Linked DNA regions of Macaca mulatta. The protein of the gene in region 1 purifies or fractionates together with the protein of each later gene. This does not show direct contact. Links are inferred from orthologs where the notes say so. Each region holds a gene or a part of one and is shown on either strand. Other genes may lie near its edges.

Evidence for each region.
Region 2: the proteins of PAG1 (region 1) and FYN purify together in Homo sapiens (co-immunoprecipitation; 3 studies listed by BioGRID and IntAct, with this or other methods). This does not show direct contact. The link is inferred for Macaca mulatta from reciprocal best matches to the Homo sapiens genes PAG1 and FYN.

What each region holds. Positions count from the first base shown.
Region 1 is NC_133413.1:91,637,156-91,641,447, reverse strand, and holds the start of PAG1 (phosphoprotein associated with glycosphingolipid-enriched microdomains 1), read left to right. Parts: upstream 1-1,465; 5' UTR 1,466-1,938; intron 1,939-4,292. UniProt on the Homo sapiens protein: Negatively regulates TCR (T-cell antigen receptor)-mediated signaling in T-cells and FCER1 (high affinity immunoglobulin epsilon receptor)-mediated signaling in mast cells.
Region 2 is NC_133409.1:16,737,067-16,740,452, reverse strand, and holds the end of FYN (tyrosine-protein kinase Fyn), read left to right. Parts: intron 1-2,124; coding exon 2,125-2,333; 3' UTR 2,334-2,787; downstream 2,788-3,386. UniProt on the Homo sapiens protein: Non-receptor tyrosine-protein kinase that plays a role in many biological processes including regulation of cell growth and survival, cell adhesion, integrin-mediated signaling, cytoskeletal remodeling, cell motility, immune response and axon guidance.

The DNA.
Region 1 (4,292 bases):
TAATGTCCAGGGTGTCTTCTTTAATATGTGAAATAGGGATACTTCTTTTTTAATTCAACGTAAGAGACCACTGTGAAATTTCAGTGAGGTAATGTATGTGAAATGTTATACTCCGTAAGCTCTTAAACACCTGAGTCTCATACCATGCTCTGAAGCAGGAAGCCAAGTCTGGTTCCTGGGTCCTGTTCCCTACCGCGCTTTTCCAAACTCTAGGCTGAGTCTAAACTTTGTTTCCTCCTGCATACACTTCCCTCTGTGACACACTAATATCCCTTACTCCATCACTGTCTTCCTTACCTTCCCCTGATGAGAGCCTTCTTCCCAGTCAACTTTAAGCTCCCTTTAATGATATGTGTAACGAGTGTTCAATAGAGTGTATATGTGTATATTTAATACCATTTATGTTTTTTTCTTGCTAAGTAATGCATCATAATTTTAGAAAATTGGGAGTAGTCAGATTTAAAGCACCCGTTGGTTTAGAATCCCTGACTCAAAGTCAGATGTCCTGAGTTCTAGACTTGGCTTGTCTCCTTGTAAGTGCAAAAGTTTATTCCCAGTTCCAGGTTGCTAGTGTAAACTTGAAGTTTGGCCCAAACAAAACTCCCATCAGATTTATTTAGAGTGTTTATGCCAAATGGAATTCTAGAAACCCACCCTTGCCCAGTGGCTGAGCCAGAACCACTATCACTGGGGGTAGACCTGGGCATTTGTTCTGCATTTTTTATAGCCCTCGGGTGACTGTCAGACAAACCAACTGTTTCAGAAGCTCTGCTCCAGGCTCTAGACCACACGTTAAGTAGCAAGGGTGGGGGTCTGGACGCGCAGTATTGGCATCCTCTGAGAGCTTGTTAGAAAGGATCTCCCCCTCATTATCCCAGGCCTACTGAATCTGAATCTTGCATCTCAACACAATCCGTAGGACATTCTGTCACATTGAGGGTTTGAGAAGCACTGTTGTACCTTGGTATCATTAGATACCTACTGATACCTGGGCCCCACCCAGACATTGTCCTGTACTTGCTCTGGGATGCGTACGGGGCAAAGGGTTCTTACAAGCTCCCCAAGTTATTTTAATGCACAGCCACAATAGAAGATCATTGTCCCCCAAATCGCAACCCTTTACGGTTAAGCTGTAACCTGAGTTAAACTGGCTTTTGTGGGCTCCCCCGGGACCTTAAGGACCGCTTAAATGGTGCTGTTTAAGGGACAATGGGCTCCGGGGACAAGTTCAACCACAGAGCTTTGGGTTCATAAAACCCGGGGAGGGAGACTTCCTGCATCTTCCCGCTAGCAAGCCGGGCGCCGCACCAGTCCTCACCGGCTTGCACCCCCAGCCCTGCCCCGCCCGGCTCGCCCCCTCCCGCCCCGCGGCCCGCCCCTCCTCCCCCGTGACGTGCCGCAGCAGCCGGGATCATGCGCACTCGCGCCCCGCTCCCGGCGCTGCTGCTCCGCCTCGGCGCCTGTCATTCTCCGCGGCGCGGCGGCGAGTGCGGGCTGCGGTACACTACTGCTCGCTGGTCGGTCTGCGCGCCAGTGACCAGCCGACTGGGGGCGGGCTGGCGGCTCTGCCTGCGGCACCGCATCGGTTTTTCTCCTGCCGGGTCTCTAGTTGAGCCGGGATTCCCTTGGAGCCAGAGAGACGCACCAGGGGCTCCGAGCGCCGCGCTCCGGGGCTGGAGGCAGCTGCGGCGCTCGGGTCCGCGCGGCCGGGTGCAGTAGCCTCAGTCCCCGCCGCCGCCTTGCTTAGTCGTTTGCCCTGGCGAATGCCCGGCGCCCGGCACAGCTGAGCCAACGCGACTGGTGCAGAGCGGCGGCGCCTCGTCCTGCACTTGCCGCTGCCGCCGGGCTGTGCCGGGGCGGCGGCGCTGCGCGCCCGAGTTTGCAGAGGCTGCCTCCGAGCGCTGTCCCCCAAGAAGACTCCCTGCCTCCTGAGTCCCAGTAAGTTGACTGTAGTTTCTGAAGTTGGAGGGAGCCGTGGGAAGGAGAGGTTCGTTTTTATCTTCTCGTGGGAAGCCGAGGGTGGCACCTCTTGTTAGCAGAGTTCCAGCTTGAGGAGGGAGTTCAGGGTGCCAAGAAGGGGACCAGGCAGCTGGAAGGTCTGGAGTCCAGGGCTGGCTGACCCCAGCATCTCATGAATGTGCCAGTTGGAAATATGCTGGGAGAGGACAGGTGCTCCTAGGGCATTTCGACTGCTGCGTGCTAATTATTCATTCCAAGCTCCTTGACTCTGTGTGTACGTTGGGGTGAAGGGGCTGGGCAGGGTCTTGTCACCTCCATCCTAAGTCCTCTGGGGAGTGTGGCCAGCACTACGATGGATCTTTGGGCGAGCCATTCCTTTCAGGCCTGCAGGCTTCCCGCGCATCCCGCTTTACTCTTCCCCTGGGCAGAAGTTGCCAACCTTTTCATAATTGGAGCCTAGTCCTTTAGGGAAAAAACAACTTATATGTCGACCCGGTGTTTTATGCCCTAAGGCAAATTAAACAAGCATGTGATTTGATACACTTTAAGAATGTAGGCAAATCTCAAGAAATAGCATTCAAATAATGACACTTGGGTTTCACCCTGATTGTCCTGCACCTCTTATGTAAGCCTCCCGGCTGGATAACTTTTGTCTCTGCAGTGGCTGCAGCTGTGGCTCTCCATTCCATTTGTTTAAAGTCCAGCTTGAACAGTATTTAATGAAAATGCTGACATGATATAGCGGCCTGAAGTCTGAAACAGAGTGCACTCTTCAAATTGGAGTGTCTTCTCCTAATAGGGAGCATGGGAGGAACAACCCAGTATATTTTTCAAGGCAGCTCCAGGAATTAGACCCATAAATCATGTTTTAAAATAGCATGCATTGTGCAGAGAGCATGCAGAGGACCGCTTTTTGAACACATCCCCTTTGTTTTAGAAAAAGTGGAAATTGTTCATGCCAGACAATTGTTGAGTCTAAAAGTTAAGTGTATTGATGGGCCTAATTATCTTAATAAACAAAGAGCATGATTTATAGGTAGCTGCAGTGCCCTACTTTGAAGGATAGAAATCTTTAACCGTTCTTTCTCAGCTGTCCCTGAGAGATTCCTTTTAAGCAGAGCTATGGATTATCATCATTGATGCTTAATACCTGATTTGATTAAACTTGTAAAAGGAATAGTACTTTGAAATACCATGCAGTATTGCTGTGTGACTGTTACACAGCGAATATTATAAATAAGAGGAATATTTGAAGTATTGGGTATAGATGTCATTAGTTTAACAAAATAGATCATATTAAGACTTCCCTGCTAAATATATACACACATACATATATGTTTAATTTGGACTTGAAATTATGGTTTAAACCAAAGCTCAGGGGTATGTTTTAATGTAAGATTTATTTACATAATCTTTGAAGAGAGAAGTGCATTTATTTATGGTATTTCAGCATACAGAACAAGACAAACTAGTTATAGGCACCTTATTTAAAATGTAGAGGGGTTTTTTTTAGGAATACTAAGAAAATACAGAAAATGTTATTTCAGAAGTTGAAAAGTTAGTCACATCAACACATTGCAGTTTGTGGGAGCATCCAGTGCTTATCTCTAGAAGAGATTACATCCAAGCATGGCATCTCAAACAGATTGACCCAGTAAGCACTATTGCATCCTGGTTAGCAGGACAGGCTATGGAGCCGGGCTGCCAGCTGTGGTACCATCTGTTTGAATCTAGGCAAGTTACCCAAAGTCTGTGCCTCAGTGACTTCATCTGTACAATGGGGATGACAGCAGTAGTACCTACCCCACTGAACAGTAGTGAGGATTAAATGAGTTCATAGACATAAAGCTGTTGGGCCAGTATCTGGCATATTAAGCTTGTTCTCGGAAAAATTTTCATTGTAATGAAAGGAAATGCATCTTGGGATACTATGGACATTGAATTGCTGCTATGGACATTGCATTGCTGCTGATGAATGTTAACAGAAGCAGTTCATGTGTGTAATAGGAGAGAGAAGGTATAAACATTTATTGTGCACTGTCTAGCGATACAGACACCTACTGGTATTTAACAATGTCTTGCTCAGTTCTTCACCACAGTCCTTTGAGGTAAGTGTCTTCATCTCTACTTTAGAGATGAGAAAATGGAAGCTCAGTGAGATCAAATAGTAGAAATTGGAGCTGGCATTTTAACCCATGTCTGTCTGTGTTGAAACTATGTTCTTTTTGACCCTGCTGCTTCAACTTGCAAATGAAGTAGGTGCATTATTATCCTCAATTTATACATGAAGAAATCTAAGCTTAAGGATGTATGCAAAGTGCAGCACCCACAAC
Region 2 (3,386 bases), on another chromosome or scaffold:
CAGCAAATAGTGTCGTAACCATTTCAGGTTTTGTGGCCAAATGAGGTCAGTTCAGATCAGTTCTGCAGTCAAGTGAGTTACAAAAACTTGATGGTGTTCAGAGCTTGTTGGATTGCGGAATTGTGGAGAAGGAAATGCTGGCCTCTGACCGCATTTGTCTAGAGCCCAAAGAGAAGCCTGCCTTTCATTCCCGAGCAGCTCCAGTTCCTCCTTTGCTTCCAGCTCCCCCGCCCCCATCCCCCGTTTTCAGCCATTGGAGGAGGATGTAGGCTAATTAGCCACAGTGCTGCCTCTCCCTCTGCCCAAGCAACTGAGGAAGTCACTGGAAAGGCATGCATGGCACAGAGGCAGGGACCCTGACTCCCTCACCAAACCTCTGTCTCTGAAATAAGGGGTCGCCCTGACACGTGAGTGAGGTTATTTTACGACAATTGCATTGAAGGCCTACTTCAGTACAGCAGAAATAATATATGAATTTTTATTATCTCAAGAAATGATCATGGCAGAGAGTAAGAAAGCATCCTGAAAAGGTCTGGAGGGACGTGCGACGGACGGGCTGTGGTTGACAGCCAGGAGGAGCCAGGATGCACTCAGCTCTGCAAGTAACAACACAACCACGAGGACTGGCAACAGACCCCAAAGTCTGAGTGTTCCCTGCCCAGGGGGACAGGCTGTGCTCTGGGCCAGCGCCTCTGGCTGTGCTGACAGGTTTCCAGCTAGCAGGTCACCACCTCCCCTGGAAGTAAAGGGAGCGAGCTCCATGCGTATGGTGTGTGCTCCTGCTGGCTGTAGCCCTGGGAAAGAGGGGAAGAAATCTTGGTTTCTATATGGCTTGACGTCGAGTTCTTGCTCCTGCAAATTAACCAGGTCAGAAATTGGGGAGGATTCCAGATGACAGCCTCACCAGCCAGGAAGCAACCAAAGGATAGCACAGCTTGACAGGGAGCTGCCAGAAGGTGATCTAATGAAAAAGGGAAGCAAAACTAGAGAACAGTGGTCGGCAGTAGTTGGGAAGAGGTCAGGACATTGGCCACCCCCTAAGCATGGTAGTTCCTGTAGTGTTAAGGCGGCCAGTGTGCAGGAGTCCGCACTCTCTAAGGAGTTAATGATCTGTCTTCTGTTAGTGCTATGCAGCCCAGTGTTTCAGCAGCTTCCCCAGAGTCAGGAAGACCTCAGATGATGGATGGCCTGGCTGAGGTCATCAGTAGAGATAGGCCCCGGACATGGTCTGTCTCCCCATCAGATTCACCAAACCTCAGGGCAGTGGGGTCACAGGGCCAGACAGTGCCCAGCCACGCTGGCATGATGGCAGATTTCCCACAGTGAGGAACTAGGAGTTTGCCCAAGCATGAGGAAAACAAATTTATGAAGTTCATAAATGGAGTTTATAAATGCTATAAACAAGGGGCAGCATGCTTTCATTCTGTGTGGATTTTTTTGTCTGCTTTATTCATATATTTTTGTCAGTTTAATTGAAGTATAATTTACACACAATAAAATTCAACAATTTTAAGAATGCAGTTTATTGAGTTTTGACAAACATAAACAGTCACACCACCCCATACATAATATAGAACAGGGGTTGGCAGATCTGGCCCCCAACCTGTGTGTGTTTTGTACATTTTTAAAGGGTTGTTAAAAAGAAGAAGACAGGGATCATATGTGACCCACAAAGCCAAAAATATTTACTGTCTGGCCTTTTACAGGAAAAGCTTGTTGACCCATTGACCCTGACACTGAACATTCCCATCCCACTTGGAGATCCTTCTGGCCCCTTTGCAGGGATTCCTCCCCTCCCCAGGCAGCCACTGATCTGCTTTCTGTAGATGTAGTTGTGCCTTTTCTAGAATTTCGCATAAATGAAATCATACAGTATGTTGCCTTTTGTGTCTGGCTTGCTTCACTTATATTGCTTTGGAGAGTCATTCTGGATTTTTGCATGTCTCGGTTCTGCACTCCTTTATTTCTGAGTAGCATGGCAAGGTTTGACTCCTGGGGGGAATGGGGGCACTTCACATGTTTTAGCCACCTGCAGATGCAAAGAAGAAGAAAGGGGATCTGCAAGTGTGGCGGTCAGGGCCTGGAGCCCCCGGGTGCCCACTCTCACTGCCCTTGTCTTTGCAGGCATGAACAACCGGGAGGTGCTGGAGCAGGTGGAGCGAGGCTACAGGATGCCCTGCCCGCAGGACTGCCCCATCTCTCTGCACGAGCTCATGATCCACTGCTGGAAGAAGGACCCTGAAGAACGCCCTACTTTTGAGTACTTGCAGAGCTTCCTGGAAGACTACTTTACCGCCACAGAGCCCCAGTACCAACCTGGTGAAAACCTGTAAGGCCCGGGTCTGCGGAGAGAGGCCTTGTCCCAGAGGCTGCCCCACCCCTCCCCATTAGCTTTCAATTCCGTAGCCGGCTGCTCCCCAGCAGCAGAACCGCCCAGGATCAGATTGCATGTGACTCTGAAGCTGACGAACTTCCATGGCCCTCATTAATGACACTTGTCCCCAAATCCGAACCTCCTCTGTGAAGCATTCGAGACAGAACCTTGTTATTTCTCAGACTTTGGAAAATGCATTGTATCGATGTTATGTAAAAGGCCAAACCTCTGTTCAGTGTAAATAGTTACTCCAGTGCCAACAATCCTAGTGCTTTCCTTTTTTAAAAATGCAAATCCTATGTGATTTTAACTCTGTCTTCACCTGATTCAACTAAAAAAAAAAAAAGTATTATTTTCCAAAAGTGGCCTCTTTGTCTAAAACAATAAAATTTTTTTTCATGTTTTAACAAAAACCAATCAGGACAGGTGTTTGTTTTTGTTTTCTTTTTTATAAATATGAATATATATATAATATATATGTCCCTGTACATATACAATGTGGGTGCTAATGTGGAGACTGTGGCCAGCCTGGGCCACCAAGCTATGGGACCCAGAGGGAGGATTTTACTGTAAGTCAGCATCAAAGCACTGGTGTTATTCTGAAAACACCAGTGGCCTCATTTTTGGCTTTTGCAAAGCATGAATTTTTTCATTTGGATTGCACTTTCCTGGTTCATGACTGTACCTGTAGATGGCTGTTACTTTGACTCTTTTCAGGAGCCGCCCCCCCAGGCTGAATTTACAAGTTCTGTTAGCAGTATTTGCTTCAACTTACTGCCGTTTGTTCTCAAAACTTAAAAATAAGCAAGCAAATGGCTACCGAGAGAACTGGAAGATGGATACCACACAAACTTCTTGTATAAAAATATGAGTGCTGAAATGTTTCAGACATTTTTAATTTAATAAACCTGTAACCACATTTAAATGATCTAAAACCCATAGCATTGTAGTCATGGCAACCTGCTAAACTTTCTCATGCAACTAAAATTTCTGGGGGAAATGAGGGTGGGGG